3 linked regions of the Caenorhabditis elegans genome follow. The protein of the gene in region 2 interacts with the protein of the main gene of each other region in a pairwise test. Each region holds a gene or a part of one and is shown on either strand. Other genes may lie near its edges.

What was found.
Region 1: the proteins of M163.1 (region 2) and C13G5.2 interact in a two-hybrid assay, tested with the Caenorhabditis elegans proteins (one large-scale study listed by BioGRID).
Region 3: the proteins of M163.1 (region 2) and lron-5 interact in a two-hybrid assay, tested with the Caenorhabditis elegans proteins (one large-scale study listed by BioGRID).

Annotation. Positions count from the first base shown.
Region 1 is NC_003281.10:8,614,828-8,622,569, forward strand, and holds C13G5.2 (uncharacterized protein), read right to left. Parts: upstream 3,636-7,742; 5' UTR 3,612-3,635; coding exon 3,567-3,611; intron 3,522-3,566; coding exon 3,429-3,521; intron 3,178-3,428; coding exon 3,085-3,177; intron 3,032-3,084; coding exon 2,966-3,031; intron 2,922-2,965; coding exon 2,456-2,921; intron 2,407-2,455; coding exon 2,191-2,406; intron 2,118-2,190; coding exon 2,041-2,117; 3' UTR 1,947-2,040; downstream 1-1,946. Other genes in the region: C06E1.11 (uncharacterized protein), read right to left, coding at 622-1,010, 1,068-1,383.
Region 2 is NC_003284.9:14,500,814-14,507,274, forward strand, and holds M163.1 (uncharacterized protein), read right to left. Parts: upstream 3,012-6,461; coding exon 2,562-3,011; downstream 1-2,561.
Region 3 is NC_003281.10:4,619,470-4,628,824, reverse strand, and holds lron-5 (LRRCT domain-containing protein), read right to left. Parts: upstream 5,797-9,355; 5' UTR 5,774-5,796; coding exon 5,480-5,773; intron 5,192-5,479; coding exon 4,916-5,191; intron 4,728-4,915; coding exon 4,485-4,727; intron 4,325-4,484; coding exon 4,215-4,324; intron 4,172-4,214; coding exon 3,931-4,171; intron 3,876-3,930; exon of another isoform or gene 3,773-3,875; coding exon 3,300-3,772; intron 3,122-3,299; coding exon 3,006-3,121; intron 2,958-3,005; coding exon 2,740-2,957; 3' UTR 2,657-2,739; downstream 1-2,656. Other genes in the region: clec-151 (C-type lectin domain-containing protein), read right to left, coding at 134-268; pfas-1 (putative phosphoribosylformylglycinamidine synthase), read left to right, coding at 642-754, 1,048-1,349, 1,393-1,513, 7,072-7,197, 7,255-7,428, 7,619-7,789, 7,878-8,001, 8,077-8,459 and 4 more.

The sequences.
Region 1 (7,742 bases), on a different chromosome or scaffold from region 2:
ACATGTAGTTCTGTACGAATCATATTCTGCTTGATCCATAACAGCTTCTGCTGCTTTACCACTACCATATCCACCACCAACTCCACCTGTGATACCACCCACAATCCCTCCAACAATAGTTCCAATTCCTGGACAAATTGCAGTTCCAATTGCAGCACCTTAAAATATTCAGCTTCTTCAAAATTTCAGATTTAAATGGAAAGAACACCTGCAAGTGCTCCACCAAATCCAATACCGTACGTGGCTACTGTAGTGGTCACTTTCTTAACAGTATTCCTACTTGTCCCTCTCCTTTTATCTTTTTCCACGTTTTTCCCAATTTGATAAGCATCGTATTCAACTGCAGCAACTTGTAAAACTGGAGCAGCTTGCGCGATCGTTGTGAGACCCTCTCCGCCAATTGTTCCAGCTGTTTGAGCTCCAGCTGATGATATGTGAACTGCTGCACCAGCTGGATCTTGAGTTAACTAAATTGTTTCTGTGAGCATTGTTAATAATTGTTCCATACCATGTTCCCTTCATCTTCTTTCTTTTTCTTTTTTCTCTTTTTATTTCTCTCATTTGAATTTTCATCTGCACTTCTTGCCATTTCAATTTGAGTGTTTGTTTTCTAGAAATAATTTATTTATGATTCAAAATCTTGTTGAGACACGCGAAAATGTGAAGATAATAATAACAAAGGTAAGAATTAAATGCATAATTTGAAGTTTGAGATGGACTTTGAATCTTTTCCGCCAAAATTGCACATAATTTGGTAGCAGCGTCGTTGCTCAGAACAATTTGAAGTTGGCAGCTACAAACTCCTTGTGCTTCTTCGTACTTCTTCCAATCATAATCTTTTCCACATTCTTTACAGGTTAACGTTGTGACATCATATTTCACGTGAGTTAGAATTTGTTCTGAAGCTGTCTCGGCAACATGTCCACCGAATAATCCCCCGGCAATTCCACCAATGATTCCTCCGAAAATCGTTCCAATACCAGGAAAGATTGCCGATCCGATGGAACTTCCTGTAATAAAGTTTTTGTAAAAAATTCTACTGAATCTTTTAAAATTACAACACTTACCGGCCAATGCTGCAGCAGATGCACTTGCATAAGTTGTCGCCGTGGTTGCCACTGTTTTTATAGTATTTCGTGTGGTTCCGTGATGATAATCCTTCTTAACCTCTTTTCCAACTTGATACATTTCGTAAATCACAGCGGCAGTCGTCAAAATTGGAGCAATTTTATTTGCTTTCTCAGCAACATCTCCAAGAACTCCAGCAGTTTTGGCAGTGGAGAGATAGGAAGATGTGGATCCTTGAGTCCAGTAACTGCCTTGTTGATGTTGATGTGATGGAAATCCACTTTTCCATGAGGGCGATCGAATCTGATCCACCATTTCGGATTTCCGCGAGAAGATATTTTAGTTTTGTCGAAAATGTTCAAAATATTTGATTTTCTACCCGAGGTTTTAATCAAATATTTGACCGCATTTCTTCTTATTGCAGTGACGCCTCCTTTTATTCCATATTCAGTCGGATTATTCAGAAAATTTGAGTATTCAATTTTAACAAAGAAAAAAAGGTATATGTTCAACTTTTATAATTCTTCTTAAAAAAAGATTCCTTTTTAGAAAAGGAGATTTTAAAACTCACCGATTTACCACTTTGATCATTTGTTGTGGGTTTCCCTTTATTGTCGTTTGAACTACTCATATTTCTGGAAAATGTAAATTTAGCAAAAATAATGTGCACAAAATTGAAAAGTGTTCGCAGACCGAAAATCGAAAGTTGCTATTTTATTTAGGCTGAGCTAATAGACGTTGTCCAAAAGGATTACACACTATTGTTTCTCACATTTCGTCGTCTCCGTTCTTCAGATCGCCGATAATTATCGATTATTCTCTCACGTGTAAATATTTTCAGGAAATATTTGGCACACCACACTATTAATGAAATGTCAATTTAAACTAAATTTCAAACAATTTATTAGCTTATGGGTGCCAAAGTGAAAATGTGAAGATAATAAGAATAAGAGTGAAAATCGAATATCGGAATTAAAAATCATGATTTGTTTCGAGCTTTTTGAACCAATAATCCACGGAATCCTGCCTCTTGTTGTTGAATCTTGTACCTGAAAAAGTACCAACTTATGATTTTCGAAAATGCGTTTTCCATTAAAATTGTTTTATCAGAATAGCACTCACAACAGGTTCCTTCAATCTCTTGATACTTTTTCCATGTGTATTCTTCATCACATCCATCACAAACGAACGTTACAACGTCCCATTTAACATGATTCAACGCATTTTCTGTTGCCACGTGACTGTAGTGACCACCAAAATGTCCACCAACAATTCCTCCGACGACAGCCCCGAAAATCGTTCCTAATCCGGGAAAAATTGATGTTCCAATCACACTTCCTGTAAAAAAACAATTAAATGAAAATAAAAACCGAGTAGAAATAAATACCAGCATAAGCTCCAATGGATCCACTGGAATAAGTTCCACTCGTCGCAGCCAATGTTTTGATTGTATTTCTTGTCGTCCCATGATTCATATCCTTGTGGACTTCTTGTCCAACTCGGTAGGCTTCGTAGATCATTGCCGCTGTCGTGAGCAGTGGCGCGACATCATTTGCTTTTTCTGCAACTTTTCCAAGCACTCCAATAGTTTTGGCAGTAGTCGGTGTGAGTGGAATATGAGGATCCTTCAGTCCAGTCACTGCTTTGTTGATGTTAATGTGATGGAAATCAACATTTCCATGAGGTCGGTCGAATCGGATCCACCATCTCGGATTTCCAAGGCTCGATTTGTTCGTTTTGTCGAAGATGTTTAGAATATTTGATGACCGTCCGACTGTACTGATCACGTAGTGACTCGCATTTCTACTCAGTGCAGCGATTCCTCCTCTGAAGCCGTGTCCAGAAGGTTCCAGCTGAAAAGACAAAAAAATACTCTTTTCAGAAACAAAAGCGTTACCTCTTCGTTTTCTTCCGATGAGCTATCATACCAGCTTCTTGCATTTTTCGCAGCTTCAGAAATAGCCTACAATAAAAAGTATATGTTTGAAAATTATATTTATTTACAGGGTAACTTACCGATGTTGCCGTTGATGCAGTTTCCGAATTCCAAGCGGAAGTTGCCGCTTCTCCGATCGATTTCGTGGCAGACGTCGAAAAATCCTTCACGGTCTATAAACATTTTTAATGAGAATTTTTGAACAATTTGAATTTCATATTTCGCTTTTTTTTGCAATAAGAAAAAGAAAACAACATTTAAAATCTATTCATTCGTTTTTTAAAATTATATTTCAAAAATAATTTTTTTAATTACTGTAATTACTGGAAAGGCAAATTTCTCTGAGAAATGCCTCAATACGAAAACGCATTTTTGTTATTTCTATTTTCGATTTTTTTTTTCAATGAAAATTGTATATGCTGACCGCTGACGTCGATGCGGCAAACTCCGAGTTCCATGCAGATGTGGTGGCATTATTAATTGATGTAGCGGCAGACGAAGAGAAATTTTTCACGGACTGCAATAATATATTATCGTTAATTGTAATAAAATGAATTATTACCGTCCAATATCCATTAACTTCGGGCTTTTGTTCGTCGGAGCTCATTCTGAAACAAAATTCATTGATGTTGAAAAATAGCTTTTCAAAGAGAGAACCAAATGTGTAAAAATCGATAACAACGAGGGGAGAGACAAAATGAAATTGTGAAAGTTAACATTAGCAAGGTGAGATCGATTCAGGTCGTTTGATGAGGTGCAGATCAACGAATTAAATGCAAAAATAATGTAAAAATTGTTTTAAAAGCTATAATTTTAGAAAATCAGCGAGCAAACAGGAAATCGAAGAGAATAATTGGATTAAAACCCGAAATTTTCTTTAAAATTTTCTACAGTAATCTTAAAGGCGCATATACCAAACTGTTCCGCGTGGCGAGACCCATCCAAAGAAATTCGTCTCCCTCCTTCTTAATTTTGACAAGATTACGGTTTATATTTTCTGAATTAGTATTAAAATGTTAATTCACTTTTAAATGAAATTTGATTTATAAAAAGGCCTTTGAAAGCTTGTTGTTCGTTTGATAAAACAACTTTGAATTGGGATTGATGAATGAAAACTTTAAAAATGAAAAACCAAACGTCCGGTTTTCAAGCCTGAGTTACTGTAGCTTCTTTCTTAAAACATATTAAGCTCCCTGTATGTTTATTTACTTTTACCTTTTCCTCGCCGCTTTCATACTTATCTCGTGAAAATCAAATTGTTGAAAATTCTCAGTCATTCCCCGTCTCCTTTTTCTTATCCGCCTTCATTTTAATTAATTGTGTTGCGGCAAATTGGACTCAACAAATCAGTTGCCTCAATCTGAATGCCCCGTTTGACACAATTAAAATACCTATTTTGGCGGTGCGGTACGTGTGAAGATTCTCTCATTAAAGGGGAAATAACATCCAAATCGCAAGGGAATGTATTCAGATTAATATCTACCGTATCGATCCGGAGAGAGACGAGCATTCTGCATGTTAAAATAATTGAAAGGAAGGTTATGGTGGATGATTGATGAGATGTTTGAAAATGGTGAGATGTTTGACAAGAAGTTGCGCAATGTTTACGTTGAGCTTGTCCATATTATACGTCAAGCCGGATATGACACCCAGAGGATCAGGATTACTGTAGTTATTTATATTTGCAGATTTTATTAGTGTCTCACACGTGGATATATAGCATGGATATTAATTTCAGAAACAAATAATAAAATATGTGTTTTTTTTTTCAAAAACGCATTCAATTTGGGTTTTTTAAAAATTTCAGTCAATCTTTTGGTAAATTGCCAAATTGTCCAAAAATGTAGACTTTTGAGAAGTATCGAGCAATGCTACAGGTTCTAACTACTGGAATTTTCATACAAATATTTGAAACGCAATTTCAGTTAAAAAAAATTATACCACAAGTTTTTGGCCGACTTCCAAAAATTATGATCAGTGAAAATAAACTTAACAAATTTCAAAAAGTTTTACTATGAGATTTGGGTGTTTGAGCAGTTTCGGAGTAGTTTTAAACAATTTCCTTACCAAAGATACACCTTCAAAGGCGCATAAAATGTATTCGAAAGGCCTCGCCACGAGAAAAAAATTCTGATACCGTATTTCTTCTAGTACGCAACTACGTTACTTTGAAAGGATATATCTTGGTTCGTTTAAAAAATATCAATAAATTTTAAACTAAAAAATGTAGAAAAACATATAGCAAGTGTTTTGTTTTGTCAGTTGACCGTTTTTCAATAAAACAAATACCAACTGATATGAGCTGTCAAAGTTGAGCAATGGGGTGCAATTGGTACTTTTTTTTCGAATTTAAGATGCCAAGATAAAGGATAACAACAAGCGCTCGCCATAAAAATTAAAGCTCCAATATAAACTATTTTCGTGGCAAGACCCACACGATTCAGATTGTAAAGTTAATATAATATATCCTCCTGAATCCGAGACCCTTCTCCCTGTAAACTATTCTTCACTTATCCATGCACTTCCAATCTGCAAAATCTCGTCATCTACATCATTGAGAGGATTGTGATGATGAATAACGGTTACGTGTCATCGACCGTTGCATAACCTTTCCTCGCCTACCACTGTCCTCTCATCATCATGATTTTATTACCATAACATTGACTGGTTTATGCTTCATTTACGGCTGGATGCGCGAAATCTGTCTGAGTGAGACAATTGACTGATTTAAGACTGTTTATCAGAGAAGTGTAAAAGAAGGAAAAGATAAGAGAATGATGATATATGTAGGTGAAGAATCTGGATATCTGTTCTAGAAAATCGAGGTTGTTACGGTAGTTTTTCTGTAGGCCGAGATTTTTGTAATATGACTAATCTTCTTCTCGAATATTGAGACTTAAAAAACACAAAGAAAAATTGAATAATAATTAAAATGTTGTTTTTCTTTTAAGTGTTGTTTTTAAATTATAATAATACACTGCAATTGAATAATTCTAAGAAGGCCTTTTTATCAAGCAAGTCAAGATGCACCATGTGGTCTTCCAGATGAGTTACACCAGCCTTGTAGGCAGGCAGGCACGCAAGCATATTTCGATGTAATAATAAGAACGCTATGAAAGATCAATCAATTGTCATAACTGAACCAATCAGAAACATTTGTGTTCTACCGTATCATACCTGTTCTCATCCAATTAATGAAAAGATGCGCCAATTTGTGTATATGACACCCTTCTCCTTTCTATCAAAACTAATTAAGGGGAGGCCGAAAAAGGGGAGAAATGACTTGCCTCAAATGTTGAATATTCTTTCTTCAATTGAAAAATATAATTGAAATTTAAGAGACTCTCCTGATGATCATACAAAAGATCTAATCTTGAAGCGGCCCGTGCGAGGGCTCGACATTGCTGTGTCTCTCAAAAAGGTACGGTATTTCTGTGTTTCACTGTCTTTGAAGTGTTGAAAGGCCCAATTTCAGATGACAATCTTCGTCTTTTCCCCCCTTTTTGCTGTCTTACTGTCTTAATCAATTTGCCGTTTTTTTTTGTTTGGCGAAAGTTTTTACCGCGTTTTCGGTTGATTGGAGGTAGAAAGTTATTATTGAATTTCAGTTCTTCAGGATGACAAAATTGGGTTACGGTAGTTGAGATTACTATATGCACCTTATGATTTGCAGTGTTAGCAAGAGTTATAAGAAAAAGTGCTCAAAGTTGAACTTTAGATTAAATATTCAGTTTTGAACTTCACACATTTTCACAGTTGGAGGGACACCTTTCTGCTGTACTTTGATAGTTTTCTATGGAACTTGTGCAATTCCCTGTATATTTTTGCAAACATATGTCGGCGTTAGTACCTCTTGCCAAAAATTTGGCAATTTTCTGCCAAGCTTTTACATTTTTTCAAAACTCTAGTTACTTCCTTCCAAAATCTTGCAACGCGGTGAATATTTGGATAAGAAGGAGATGAAAAGGGCTAATTGAGCGTGTCATCTTGACAAGTAAAGTAAGTATGTGTCAAAGCGGGAGGGAATACTTTAAAATTAAAATTGGGGGCTCTATTTCTCTATCTTCAAAGAGGTGAAAGTGACGGGCGGTCAATTTAATTAGATTTGATACTGGTTAGAAAGGAGGTGGTGAAGTAAAAATAATCAAGTAGGTAAAAAAGCAGATTTACATCCACTTTTTCCCATTAGTACTACTGATAAAATAGAGGCAAAGCCAAATCTTCAAACCAAATTTTTTGCGGTTACCAGAGATCGAAAAAGTAGTGACACGTGTTTGACTTTTGTTAAACCCTTGAACACATACATATTGCGTTGCATCTCCTTATTACATAATGTTTAATTCCCATGTTATATTACGCAACTTTTTCTATCCATCATAAACTGGAGTGATGCCTTTAGCCTACTTTTTTGGGCTCAGACCAAAATTTTAAATCGTAATACTTTTGGTTGCAACAATGAATTTTTAAGATTGACCGAAATTTTCTAGCTCGGCACTCAATTTTTTATTCATAATTTGTAGGAGGATATGTTTTTATTGAGGTATACGGTTTTAAAAGTAAAGTAATGGTAGTGAGATATTCCCAAAATATTTTGTGTTTCGAACACCTGGTCCACTCTCTGTGGAAAAACTGGAGACCTACCCAAGATTTTTTTCAAAATATCGTAACCTGCCCGATCGCCCAAATCTTCTGATAATTGTTGCTGGTATATATTTTTTATTTAACTGATCTCTTTTTA
Region 2 (6,461 bases):
AGAAGTCTGCTTTTTATTACCACTTGATAAGAACTGATTGTGCTTTACGACATTTGAATGGCATGCGGTAGACGGCGTGATAGTAAGAGTAAATTGCATTTTGCAGCGCCGATAGCTGATTTGAAATTGAAATTTCGGTCTCAAGTAATGAGCGGAAGTCACGTGATATATGTGCTAAAAAGGAAATTTTAGAAGTGAAGTAGCGGTGGTGACGGTATTTTTTTTTTTGCAAAAAGTGTTCAATTACCCATGGCACTAATCTTCATGTGACCGATGACTGTGTGTGTTTGTGCTTCCTTAGTGGCGCCAAACTTTTTATTTGGGTATGGGAATAATATTCGAATTTCCGTCTGAAGTGGTTGGCGGCAGCGCCAGAAAGTGGAATTTGATTATCTGAACATAAATATAATATCAATGAAATGAAGCATCGGAAGAAGTTTTTTTGAAGAAACTTAGGCTTTCACGCAAAACTGAAAGGGAAATTTTTTACAGTATCTCAATTTTACAGATGTTTAATTAGTCACCAGTTTTAAAAATAAATTTCAAGGTTCAGTAAAACTATGATTACTTCAAAAAGTATGAAAAGGACGTGAAAATTGTTGAAGGTAGAGTACGGAAATCTGGGAAATATTTTCAAATGACTCCAAATTTTCCCCTGATTCCGAATATCTATATGAAACAATTTAAAACAATTATCCTGATTTTATATTTGAGCTTGAAATCACGATTTTCATTTACGTCCCCATGAGTTTTTCAAATGTGCGCCGAAATAAATTATCCGTGAAGCGCATTTACCTCATTTAATTTTCTCCATTTATTTTTAATTTTTTCAGTTTTTAAGCAATTTTCACTTAATTTTGTCGCATATTATCGGATTTTTTTTTGAAAAATATATTCTTTCGTGCCGATTGAACATTGAAAAAAGTAAAAATAAATGGGGAAAATTAAATGAGGCAAATGTGCTCCAAGGATAATTTATTTTGGCGCGCATTTGAAAAAGCTCATGGGGACGCAAATGAGAATCGCGATTTTAAGCTCAAATATAAAATCAGGGAAATTTTTTTTCAGATATTCGGAATCAGGGAAACATTTGGAGTCATTTGAAAATATTTCCCAGATTTAGGTACTCCTCTTAAATCTTTAAAGGATCTCTAATTAACACACGATTTCTGACCAGGAACCAATTATTCAGATAAAATATCCGACGTCAACCTGCAATTCAGCCTGCAAACTAAACCTTGGCATGTTGCCAACCAATACACATCGTGACACCCATCTCGACTGTTCCCGTTTGCAAACCCGCTGTTTACATTTTATGCAACTAAATTTTTGATCGTCGGCATTGTTGTTCTGCTCGTTGAGGTCTGAACTATTTCCAACCGCATGATACGCCGTATTGTGTTGTCGAGATCAAAAAGCCACGGGACCGCTAGGCAACCTGTCAAAAGGACACGGACACATGACTGTTTTTTGACCTAAACTGCCAGACATCTCCAGGAAACGTCAAGATCAAAGTATTCTCAGACGACTGCGTCGTTTCAAATTTTTTATTGTAAGAAAACAAATTGTTTTGAATTTCTTGTCCTTTTTAGCACGTGACAAAACATTTTCTCAATAACTTCTTATCAACATATCAACCTATCAATCATCTTGTGACAACTGTACAGATAAATGTATACCCAAGGTTTATTAATATTATCAGTTGAACCACAAAGTGTTCAACTATATTTCTACATCGTTGTAGTATTTTGTTTCCATATTGAGGAGGAAAGATAGGAGGGATGAGGGGGGAGAAATGGACATCTATACAAAATGCTAATCACAAAAAGTTATCATCGTAGAAACTATGCGGAAGTGTATGTATCTCATGGTCATAAAAAAATATCATATTCAATTAAGGGGTGTGAAAAGTGGAAGAAATAAGGAGAAAAAGAAGCGACCCAAGATTGTGGTTTGTGTGAAACGAGCTATTCAATGTGCAATGATTATGGTAATGTGAGGTGATTCGGCGGGAGTCCGATAGAAGAGAAATTGAAGGTGGAATCCGTGAGGTCAACTTTGTCATTGAGCACACACGCTCACAAAGTGCAGGAGGTATCAGAATACAATTGAGAAGAGTGAGAGGGAAGAGTTGAACGGGGATATTTAGAACGGGGAAGCAAAAAACGGGAGAAAAATGTGATTGGCAATGGTTTCTTTCATTGTTGAGTTGAGTGACGGAAATGTTTTTGGCTTTGCTTTAATTGTTGACGAATATAATGCAGATACTGGGGAATACTGAAAAAAATCGTTTAAATATTTGAACTATGCTTACACAAGTGTTTTCGTCATCAAAGAAATATGTTAAATATACGGAAAGTCTCTTGTTACATTAAATATTCCTAGACTAATATTGCATAATGTATGCTCCCACCATTTGCATGGTCTCAGAATACAAAGTGTACTTAGATGTCGGAAGGCCCTCTTGTGCATAAATCGCCTGTCAACGCCGACACTGTGTACCAATGCAGTAATACTACTTGTAACAACAACTCACCTTGTTAGAGAAAAAGATAAATGACTCATTTGAGTACAAGATGAACGTTCTCAACGTAGCTGATCAGTTGCCGTAACTTGCGCTCGTTCTCCGCCAGCAGCTGTTCAAAGAGGTCATCATTCATCTCGGCAATTTTTTGCTGTGTTATCGCCTCGTCATTGTTTCCGATTTGTTCGTTGACGTCATTCTCATCTGGCTGATTGTCGTTTTCGCTTGTCTGTTCGATCTCCTCGATGACACCTCCTGAGAAACCGTTTTGCATCATGATGAACTGATCCTCTGCATTTTCGGAATGATGGTTCTGCTGAACGTCTTCATCTTGATCATCATCAAACTGAAACTGTTGCTGATGATTCCACCGGTAGTAGTTGTCTCTCCAGACTTGTTGATCGTCGCGATTACTGTATGCAATGTTGATCGGAGCTGACTGCATTCGCGAAGAAGAGCTCAGAACCGGCTGTGGTTGACGAGCCATTGTGAATTGATAAATATGAATGAAGGGGGACCCAAGCTGGAAAAGAAATACAGTTAAAGAGGCGAAAAAAGGAAATTGAATCGAGAATTGGATCCTTGCAAAAAAGAAAGTGGTACGAAAATCTGATAGCAAGAAGACGGTGAGTGGGGTGAGTGGGGCGTGAGCGCAGACACATTTGAAACTGCACGAGACAAAAGGTCACATGTTTCAGTTTGTCTCAAAGATCGATTGGGGCTAAAAATAAGCTGATAAGCATATGAAAGATGGTCTGATGTTTAGAGCTATTCAGTATCAAAATATCAAATGGCAACTGCAAAAAAGGATATATCACGGATGAGAGGGGGGAAAGGGAAATGAGGAAAAAAAAGGAAATCATTTGTAAACTACTGATAATGATGGCTGAGTCTTCTTGTCTCACCATCTGGCAACATGTGTTGCTATACCTTGACCCCCTCCCCACAATTGCATTATCAATTGGAAGGCAGAATAAAAGAGAAAAAGCGAGCAGAATGTGCACACACACTCACACACATACACAGATTCATACACTCAGTTACATACTCGTATACACACCCTGATCGGCGGCGGCGGCCCGCACCATCACCAAACCACTGTGGCATGGGGTGGGGGAACTACTTGTGGAGGGGAGAAGAGGGCAGGACCCCGTCCAAACGAGACGAGCCAATTGTCAAGGACAAAGGCGGACGTTGTGATCGGACGGCGGGTGAGGATGGAGGGTGTTTCTCTGCGTCTCGTTCGGAAAAAATGGAACTGTTCGATTGCGGAGCGGCCGAAGTGATGAACACGAAAAATTGAATAATGGGGCAGGGGGCGGAGCTGTGGGTGGTACTGGCAGACGTATAGTTTATCAGCAGCAGTTAACGGCTGTTTTATCAGGTGCACAAAAACGTTTAGCACAGTTTTTGAAAAAGTAATCAGGCAGATGCTGATGTGGTCTCATAGAACTTCTGTGGAATCCGGTACAAGATAACAAAAGTTCAGACACATAGCACTATCAAGAGTTGAAGTAAATTTTTGATTTTAAAGTACTTGTACATATGTTCATTTTTAAGGCTTCAACTTACAGCATAGTAACTTTTTGAAATTTTAATTAAATATTTTTTAATTCGAAATTTCCTATAAGATAACAGTACAGTTGCATTTTTGAAAGCTTTTCTCAATTTTTGGCCCGCAACTGGAATAAATATTCAGATTCGGAAACTTTTTGGCTTCCTAATATGCCCCGCATGCTGCTGATGCCCCTTTCCCACCCAAATTTTAAGAAAGCATGGTTTTCATAGCGTTTCACACTGCTTCTCACAATTTTATCGCGCAGATCGTATCGCTGTTGAACGGTTTAGCCGTCTCTCAACGGGCCACCTATATTCTGACTTTTTCGTCCAAATTGCTTTTTGCTTTTTAACGATAGAATTTTCAAGAGATCCAGTGAGATAAAAGTGTGAAAAAATCTACAAGTCCCGGCTGATCTTTCATCGGGTGGTCCGCGGGAAGTAAAAAAGTGCAAAGCGGTAAACAAAGAAGATCAGAAAAGTGTGTAATTTTGACAAAAAAAATTGCGAAGAACAGCTGAGGCAGACAAAAGTACCAAGAAAGTACCAAAGTTTATCAAAAAAAAGCTTATGGGGGTTCACGGTAACTTTCGAGCGTCTCAGGGTAAGATTGTGCAGCGTTCGCAAAAAGTAAATTTTCTCTCTCTCTCTGTTCTCCTCGAAAAAAAATCGAAAACCAGTAACGAGTTCTTTCAAGTGGCAAGATGACAAATAACTCGCCCATATGCCCTAAACTTGCACTTTTAAATTAGTTTATAGAGTTTGTGCTTAGCTGAGCACTGTGAGCTTGTATGTTTTGCTGAATATAAATATAACTTTTTGTTGAAATATGATAAAATGGTTGTATAAAAGAAGAGAGAAAGAACAACAACAAAAAATTTATGTGTCAAAAAAAACTGAACGGGCGCTGCGGAATATGGGGAAGAGGGGAAGAGGGAGGAATATCGAACACAATCGTTGGGAATGATGTTTGCTTTTCTTCATGACGGCGCTCAAAACACAGTCTGCAACATTACCAAAATCTGGCTCTAATGAAGGTGCACCAGGGAAGACCCATAAAATGATTATCACTCGCTTACTCGTTGTGCCCCTCACAGAGTTTCGTGCCCTCCCACTTTTGCGGGCAATATTTCGAAAAGTTTCGTATTTTTTTCTCGCCAGAGATAAGGCAGATAGCAGGAGCGTGTCAGAGAGGCCCGACAGATTTTTTTTTCATCTCCGTCGTTTTCTCTCACTGCCTCTCGGTCAACAACCACACGCAGCACACACACATACCCCCCAACACACGGGAGTAGTGAAAGACAAATACAGACCGAGACTCCAGACGGGAGACCCCCCCCCCCCCCTCTCCTCAGATACCGTCCGTTGTTTTTGGTGGTGGTGGTGGCAGAACAAAAAATTGAAAAGAGAGGGGAGAGACGGGGAGCGGAGAAATAAGAACAGCAGCCGAAAAACGAACAGATTGCACGTTTCTCTAATATTTTCTAAAAGTTAACAGTTCAAATTGTGTGTTGAGAAAAAGATGGGGATCTTTAAAATCTCAAAAAAAATTACCTAATGCCTAACTTTTACAACAGGTAAAAATTTGGTCGTTGTATAATTTGAGCTAACAAGGAAAGGTTTTCATTTTACGGTCAGACTTCAAAATGACATATGTGTCATTTGAAAGTGTTCCATACGAATGTCACTGCAAAATTTTAAGCGGCAAAGCTCTACTCTCAACCCCAAAATTTTTGATCTGAAATTGTTTCAGTGTATTTTTTCACTACTTTGGAGTATAATTGCTCCAAAAGTTTTTTGTGCAAACTTTCAATGTTTTTCAGAACGGTTAGAAGTAGGTAAATATTCTGAATTTTTTTTCATTTTAATTTTTTTTTTTTTGAAAAAAATCTGAAAATTTCTTCACTCCACTCGGCACAAAATTTTTTGCAAAAAAAATTTGAAAATTTTCAAAAATGCCCCAGAATGTTTACCTATTTTTTCTGGAAAACATTAAAACTTTGCACAAAAAAAATTTGCAGCAATTCTACAAGCCTGCGAAGTAAAAAGTGCACTGAAAGAATTTCAGATCGAAATTTTTGGGGTGAGAGTAGAGCTTTGCCGCTTAAAAGTTTGCAGTAACATAACCGATACACATTCAATTGATACATGTCTCGTTCAGTCGAAGATGAGAAATGAAATATGTGAAACGCTCAAATATATTTTTTTTCTAATTCATAACCATCGAGCAAAAAAGTGCAACCAAATATTACGAGAAAAATGGAAGCTACTTACAAAAATCAAAGAAAACAACTGTCAAGAAAAAATGAGCCTATTTATTTGTAAAGCAAATCGAAGGTTATTAGGTTTTCTACTCGGATCACCAAACAAGAGAATTTCC
Region 3 (9,355 bases), on a different chromosome or scaffold from region 2:
CAACTAGCCGTAACGGATCCCAAAATCTAATCATGCATTTGCAAATGCTTTGAAAATAGTATAAATGAGGCTTGAAGAGATATGATCAGTTGAAGAGATCCATAACATCAGTAGATAAATCATATATCTGTACCTTGTATCCACTTCTGGCACGATAAGTTTGTTCTCCACCCCAAAATTCGCACATTTGCTGGAAACTCCAATCTCTGTCCACTTGAGCATTTGTGTAGCACAAAAGGCTTAAAGCCATGAAAATTTTCAAACGCATTCTGTAAATGAGATGAATCTGAGATGAGTTTTTGATTAACTCGAGAGAAATTGTTAAACTCACTTTTCTTATACCGATTTGATGTTGGTACTGAGTTAGTTCTGCTTGGCATTCCGTATTTATAATAGTTTTATTGAGGCCACGTGAGGTCACTTGGATTTAAATATCGGGCCAGTTACTTGAAAATATGTTTTTTTTTCAAAAAGCAGGGTGTGGAATAAATTTATCACTTAAAAAAATTTACTTACAGCATCAAAAGCAGAGAATAGCAACAAAAACAGACAACACAAAAATACAAAACAGTACAGTAAAAAGAAAACAAATGTTTATTCTATAGGAAAATATAATAATTCAAAAGAAAGTTCAATTTCAGGAAATGTGATCAAAGAATTGGTGGAGGGATGTGGTGTCACAGTGAAAAGTGACACATTCCAGCTCGGTGATGAGAGTATATCGTTGAGAGAACTATGGACAGCTGAGTATCAGGTATTTTTGAAATCTTCTGTTTTTGAAAGTTAACTAATTTTACAAAATTCTTTATTTACAACCAAAGAATGTCTTGCCAAAAAATACATGAAAATTTGAAATTTTTGTTACCCCCCGGCATCTACCAAAATTGCAATTTCCAAACAGCAATACCCGTGCACCCCGATTTAAATCTTTTTAAAGCTATGACTTTTTTTTGAGTTTCAAAATCTTTATGCAAAAAACTGTTATAAACATTCAACTCATAGTCAATTTTTTTTTGTTCCAGATTTCCATCTCTAGGTTAATTGCAGGAAAACGACGCAGCTCTTGTAGATGCATCACTTCTCGATGCTCTCCAAACCATTTCCAAACGCGAAAAATGTCATGTGTCAGTTGTTGGAGAAGTAGAAAAAGAGCAAAGAGTCAAGCTCCTTGGGAAATCTGGTGAAATTGCAGTTGACCTAGATACCCGGCAACTTGGAGAACGAGAAAAGAAGGTGTTCAAGTTGAAAAGTGCCCCGAGGGTTTTGAAGAAACTAGAGTTACCAGAAAATCTGACAGTAAGAAAAGCTCTGAAAAGAGTTTTGATGTTGCCTTCAGTTGCTAGCAAAAGGTAATTCTGAACTAGAAAAATTATTATAAAATTTTATTTGTAGATATTTGACATGCAAAGTAGACCGATCTGTAACTGGATTGGTTGCTCAACAGCAATGTGTTGGACCTCTACACACCCCACTTGCTGATGTAGCAGTCGTGGCTCTGTCACATTTTGATACGGTTAGGTTTATTGAAATTCTTGTCCAATTCAGATTAAGAATAATTATGAAATCAGGCAATTATCTCAAGAAACTTGTTTGAACAAAATTAACCAAGTATAACTGTAAAGTAACTTTAAAGCTCCACAAAGTTTTACTATCTTATGTAGCAATTTTAAGTAGTTTCCTCTTTCAAGTACAGTAACCTTAAAGGAAGGTGTATAAAAACTTTAAAAAAACCAAAAGTATTTTAACCGTCAAAAAATGTCATTTGGAATTAATTTCTAGAGGGCAAACAAGTTCAGACTGGAACCAAGAAAATTCAAATTTAAAAGAATTTTTCCATTACAGTACCAACATTTTAAGCATTTCTCCATTTTCCAGAAACTTTTTCTTTAACAAAACAATCTACGAATCCCGATACATGTTTACCCACCCCAACAAAAAATGTTTTCATCGTTCGTTTTATTCAGTCGGAAATTAGTTTTTCGTCGTCTCAACCCAACTGCTACTCATTTTTGTGTGACACAAATTCTGTAATACAATTTATGAGTGTGTAAATCTGAAAAAAAACGTCTTCTTGTTCCCCTTTTTTTCGTTTAGAATCAGATTTATAACTGAACCATGGCGGGTCGTAAGTAAACAGTCAACAAGTCGGACCCTTTTGTTGCAAAAAAGAAGGAGAGCAAGAGCAGGGACTTCTTCTCTCGTGTCAGATTTCCGTTTTCGATTTCCCCGGGGACAAGTTTTGAATGGAAGAATGGACGAGTCGCATTGCTGCTGACATGTCCGATGACAAATCTTCTCTGATTATGCAGCTTTCAACATTTTTGAGAAGATCCAACTTTTGTCATGACCTCAATCAAGTTGTTTAGGAGAACAGATCAGAGATTTGTTCCTCCACAAAAATTGGAATGTCAGTCTCTGAAAATAATGTGTGTGTGTGTGTGTGTGTGTGTGTGTGTGTGTGTGTGTGTGTGTGTGTGTGTGTGTGTGTGTGTGTGTGTGTGTGTGTGTGTGTGTGTGTGTGTGGTGTGTGTGTGTGTCCTTCGTGGGTGTGTGTCCTTCGTGCCTTCGTGGGCTCATTGTAATCGAGGACCGAGCACGATGTGCGCATCACGAAAATGATGTACCACTACTTAAAAGGTCGGATATTGTACCATCATCATGATATACATACAGTTTTATTTAAACATCGATAATATAAAGTAACCCGTTTCAAAATAACGTATATAGATTATAAAGAACTTATAATCTGACTGGCGATTCCATAAGTGATATCCTTTTGTACACAAAATTGGCTCGATCCGCATACTTTCTATACACTAGGAAACCACCAATGAGTCCTGCCACAATGGCGAATGCGATGATAAATGTGGTTATTAGGATTGAATAAAAGTTACGAGTTGTGTCAACGCATGGCTTTACTGACGCAAGATACGGAAGTAGGGGATATTGCCAGGATCCTGTAATAAATTGTTTTTTCTTTATAGTTTAAGTTAATCTTGAAATACCTGAGAAGCAATAATAGAGTAGTGGATCAGATATTTGACTTTGATTTAGAAGATGTGGCACAATGTCATACAGGGAACAATCACATCGGAGAGGATTTTGATCAACTCGTAAATCTCTGAAAGTTGAGAACATGAATATCAAATTACAATTTTAGTACTCGTGTCCCACTAATACCTCTTGGTTTTTTGAGCTGACTTAACGGTTTTATAGAATTCCAAAATTACGATACTGGAACCGTATGGGAATTTTTATTATTATTACTTAAACTGGTCAAAAAGTTCTTCCCGACTAACCTCAAATGCTCCAACTTCGAAAAGTTTGATGTGAATTGCACTCGATTCTCGCCCAAATCCAGAGTCCTCAAATTCTCTGGAAGTGATTTTGAATCAATAATTCGAATTTCATTTCCTCGAAGAATCAGTGACTTTAGAGTTCTCAAATGTCTCCAATGAAGAGAGAATTCTAATCCTGAATTCGAAATATCCAAATCAACAAGTGAAGTAAGCTCATCCAAATGATCACTCCAACACGGAGAATCCCGATTTGGGCATCTGGAGAATAGAGTGGGATTTGAAGCGATTCGAAGTTGTTGAAGCATTGGAAGTCCCGTAAAGAAATGTGGATCCAAATGAGAAATTGTGTTGAAGGAAAGATCCAGCAGTAGCAGGGATGGAAGAATTGGATGAGGAAGAGAAGATAGTTGATTGGAGCTTAAATCAAGTGATATCAGTCCTAGTCCAATTGATGGGAAGGCTTGAGGATCTATCTGAAATATGAAGAATTTTCAAACTATGAAAATGCTCAGCTGCTTGGTGGGCAACACATATAGAATTGCACACAATAGAATAGCGTCAATTTTTTATTTGTAGACACTTTTTTATTTGCTGACACTATTTAATTTTTCAAAAATATTCCTAAACAAACCTCGCTCAACTGATTGCTTGAAACATCGAAATGTTGCAAATTAGGGTAAGATTGAAGAGCATGCGGAGGCAACGATGTCATCAAATTATGGCTCAATCCCAATGTATGAAGCTCGGTCAACTCAACACCTGGTGGTGGAATAGGGAATTCACTAAACATGTTTCTCTCCAAATGCAAAGATTCCATGGAAACAGCGTCAATGTACACGGAGGATATCAAGTTATCACGGGCAAATACTGATCTGGAAATTAGGATGGTATTGAAGGAATTGGGAAAGGAATTACCGAATTGGGCAAAATCTTGAGAATCTCAGTCGTTTTGCACCGATTCCGGATATATCGAGAGAATGGAGAAATTGACCACATGCGGTCCAAGTGTCTTCATGAAGGGGAAGCTGGAAATTGGCACAGTATTATCGAGATTCGTTATTTTTATTGTGACCTTGGTAGGCACCTTTTCTTGCCTACACGCCTACTTTTTGCCTGTATATCTTTGTTTTTCTGCTTCCATTGATTGATTCTATTTTCGAGTTTGAAAGAAGTTAAGGAGTTTACCTGACAGTGGCTGATATTTAAGCTTTTAACTCGACTCTTTCTCTCCAACCATTCCTCAAATCCAACTGGCAATCTTGTATTACTCAAATCCACGTATGTTGCATTCGAAAACACATCCAATGCGCCGGAATCGATTTCCAAATCTCGATTCGATGAAAAATCAATTGTAGTGATAATTGAAACATTCAAATTGTGAATTGGAATGTGACGGCACACATCTCTATCGCATTTTCCGGGGAGTTTCTGGAAATTTAAGATACATATAAAGTTCGGGTAGTGTAGTAGTTTTTCTTGAGTGGTGATGTACTTGAAAACTTTTACAAATTAGATTCTCAGCACTAGATTGTCTAACTTTGTAGTGTCAGTTAGCACATTCTGTAAATTTTCGCACAAAACTTATTTGCGACATAGTTTATGAAAATCAAAAATACCTTGAACATAATCGCAGTTTCATTCACACTTTCCATTCTTGTATCGGATAGGAAAAGCTGTCGAACAGGTGGAAAAACAGTCATTGATGTTGCAATTGCAATTGGATTGCCAGACAAATCTAATTGTTCAAGAACAACTCCCGGTGCAAGAATCCATGTGAGTTGGTCCAGATTTGATAATCGGTTGTTACTGAGTATAAGGACTCGAAGAAATTTAAGACTGCGAAGTACTGTAGGTGGAAGAGTTTCTAGATGATTGTTTGAGAGATCGATCACCTGAAATTTTACAGATTTTTTGAAATATTTCGTTGTTTAGTTTCAATAATTCAAAATTGTATAGCTTGCAGTCTGCAGCTACATTTAGATACGCTAATATTTTTTGAAGTCCTACTTATTTGTATTTGATACAACGTCCGGCATTCTTTCTCAAACTAAGGTTTTCCTCAACTTGTATTGAGCTTGCAAAAATAAAAATCAAGCGCTATAATGTTTTAGTTTGTAAAACTCAGGTTACACATAACTAACACCAACAAATCTATGTAGGCCTTCAAGAAATTTGCCTACCTCCAAACCTGGCAGTGGTAAAAATGTACTTCCTGGAATCTCATGCATTCCACATCGACTCATCCGAAGTACTCGAAGATTTGGATGAAATAAGAAATGAGGTGGTTGTGGGAGATTCAATGAATTAAGATGAAGTTGTCGAATTGTTGGAAGCATCGATACTGTTCGAATTAAAAGAGACGGGCGGTTGCATACAACTGTATGAGATATAAAATCACAATCACAATGAGCACAAAGATCTGCTTGAATCGATGAGATGATGCTCGTAAAGAGCAATATGATGAGGATGTGCATGGTTGTCTCACTGACTGACTGCTGCAACAATAGTTGTTGGTGAAGCACAAAAAAGGAGGCGGAGTCGTTGGAGCCAAAAAAAAGAAGAGGGCGTGATTAGATTGGAAAAGTGAGAATCACTTGTGTTAACGGACAAGGAAAATGGAAAGTTGAGAGTTAATAGGTAATGGAGAACAACTGAATTTAAGCCTAAGCCTAAGCCTAAACCTAACCCTAAGCTTAAGCCTAATTCTATGCATCAGTTTCTCGGAAAATTCAAACAGAAATGGAAAATAACAGAAATTAAATGGAAAATACTATTAAACTCATTAGAATGTCCAAGAATTCCAAAAACGAGAGCTTAACAAGCGGAAAATGAAAAAAAAGAATGGAAAAGCCAATCAACCAAACGTTTTTCATTGTCATTCTGCTCAGGCAACAATGGCAGTTCATTAGGTTGATGATGTTACAGCCAAAATATTTCTCCGTCTTCTTTTCCGGAATCCAATTTTTGCATCAAATTCTTCTCTCTTTCCCGCTTCTGCCGTCGGAATCCGTCCAAAAAATTTCGGAAAGCAAAAAGAGGAATCAAAAAGACATTAGAAGACGAACAAAGAGAGAAGAAAATTGGATTTTTAGTTGTTGTACTAGAAGCCTTGTGTGAATACATTTTTGGAGAAAACGGGGGGTCCTACTAAAATAAGAACTACCGAAAACAATTGAAGAACGAAAGAGTTTGAGCTTAGTTGAGAGGAGGGGGGAAAACTGAAAAGAATGGCACATTTTATGCATCAGTGAGCCCTTTGGAGCCACCCGGAAAATGAGAAGCCTTCCGGAAATAAAGGAGCAAAATGGGGGGAGTTGAAAAAAAGAGTTCAAAGACCCTAACTAAATTGAATGGGGTAAATGATGTCAAGTTCAAAAATTGCACGTTGTCGTACAGGTCGGTTTTTGCGCCATGTCCGAGAAAAAACAATGGTGGTCAAGTTTTTCTTTCTTCGATATCGGGAACTTTTCCAAAAAGATGTAAAGGGATTTTCAAAATTCGGGAGACGTAGTTTCATTTGCTTGCTATATGACCGAGAATATGAAAAAAAAACTCAAAAAGGTATAAGCTTTTGAAAACCAGTACAAAGCTGTATAAAACCTTTTCCACATTACAGAGAAGTTTCGAACGATCTTTAGGAAAACATAACAAAGAATTTACTGGCTGGCCACTTGCCCAGTCACAGAAGATTTCTGGCGCACTTCGTTAACTTTCTGCCGCATCTACAATAATTTCAGAATAAAAGACTTAACTGCTCATGTCAAAATTGCAGGTTGGTGGAGCCGTGTCTCTTGGCGAACAACCCATAAAAATGCTAATCGACGCTGAAAAAGGAGCCCGAATGTGTATTGCGGAGACGATAATGAACCTCATTTGGGCACCAATTACCGATTTAAAAGTACACTTTCTTATATATTTTTATAGCAAATTCCAAAAACTACTACTATCTTTGAAGGACGTAAAAATGTCGGGTAACTGGATGTGGGCTGCAAAATGTGACGGAGAAGGGGCTCGTTTAGTTGATGCTGTTGGAGCTCTTTGTCGTGGACTTCGTGAGATTGGATGTGCGATTGACGGAGGAAAAGATTCGTTATCAATGGCGGTGACCGCCCATGGAGAAGTGGTCAAGGTTTGGATGAGCACATTTTTCTAGTTGACTAGGAAATAATTGACACATCTTAAATACGAGAAGAATGCCACAGAATTTTAAATTCATTTCGGCTGAGAACTTTTTTCGGTTTCTTTCCAAACGTATTCAATTTCGTGTCATGCCAATTTTGGTGGCTCTGTAATGAAAAATCTAAAATTAAATCTTCCAGAGTCCCGGTACTCTTGTACTTTCCGCATATGCTCCTTGCACAAATGTTACAAAAGTTGTGAATCCATCGCTGAAAGCTGTTCCCGGTTCAAAAATCTTGTGGATCAAGATTGGAAGTTCCGAAGAGAAAATGAGGCTTGGAGGAAGTGCACTGGCACAAGTTTATTCACAGGTTTGAGATTTTCATTTTCTCTAGTCTGATAATATGTATTCATATAGGCAAAATATATTTATTGAAGAAATATAAATTAATTTTCTAGATTGGAGACGACTGTCCGGATATTGAGAACTTCTCGGAAATTTCTAAAGTGTTCTCAATTGTTCAACAGTTACTGAATAGAGAAGAGCTGGCAGGGCCTTTGAGAAAACCAATTATTTTGGCAGGTAACATCACAACTTTTATGGATTATTGAATCTGCCTTTTGTTTTAACTGTCCGTCCAAACTATCTAACTTTCAGGACATGACATATCGGATGGAGGACTCTTGACTGCTATTCTGGAAATGGCATTTGCTGGAAATGTTTCTATTGATATTGATATCAAGCCCCCCAACCAGAATATCAAGCCTATCGATATTTTATTCGCTGAAGAATGTGGCATACTTTTGGAAGTTTCTAATCCTGAAAATGTTCTGCACATATTCTCTGAAGCTGGAATTAAATGCCAAGAAATTGGAAAAGCATCTGCCGTGTTTGGTCCAGATGCCCACGTAAAAATCCATGTGAATGGTCATTTGGAAATCAATGAGAAGCTGGTTGATTTGAGAGAAGAATGGGAATTGGTTGGAGATCGATTGGGAGAGTTTCAGACAAATCCCAAGAGTTTGAAGGAAGCAAGAGAGGTTTGGGATTTTAAGTTTAATAATGGTTTTAAGTTTAAAGATGTATGATTTAGGTTCGAAGAACATGTCAGAAGATCAATTATAAATGTGATTTTGATTGGTATTATAATCCAGCGTTTATTCATAATGAGCAGTACTTTTCTACAGGTTTGTATTTTTACTTTTTCAGATTTTTTTTTAATTTTGAACTTTTGTAGTGCTGAATAAAATTATATCAGAATAATTGGGAAGTTTATCCGCCTACTGCCTACGACTTTAAAATAAACCTCCGACAAAATGTCGTTTTGCAAATTTTTAGAAATTTCTGAAAATACAGTTTTTTGTTGGAAATTTAAAATTAAAATATTTCTGAAGATGAAACGAATAAAAGTAGGAAATTTGTAGCCCCACGAGTCGCTATAATCCGTGAAGAAGGTTCGAATGGTGATCGAGAAATGGCTTCTGCATTCACTCTTGCTGGATTCCAAACATTCGATGTCACAATGACTGATATTTTGGCTGGGCACACTTTGGAAGCTTACAGGTTTTCCTGAGAATTTCAAATCCTTTTAGCAATCCATTATTCTTTCAGAGGTGTCGCGTTTGTGGGTGGATTTTCATATGCTGATGTTCTGGGGTCTGCGAAAGGTTTTTAGAATTTTTTTTTTTATTTCAGTAAAACCAATTTTTCAGGTTGGGCTGCCGGTGTTCAATTCAACGAGTCTGTTTCAAAGCAATTCGAAGCTTTCCGTTCGAGACCTGACACATTCTCATATGGAGTTTGTAATGGATGTCAGTTGATGGCTCAATTGGGATGGATTGGGGATGAAGAACAGAAAGGGCCTACTGTTTTTTTGGATGAAAACGAATGTGGGAGATTTGATAGCAGTTTTGGGCCAGTTAAAGTGAGTAATCCA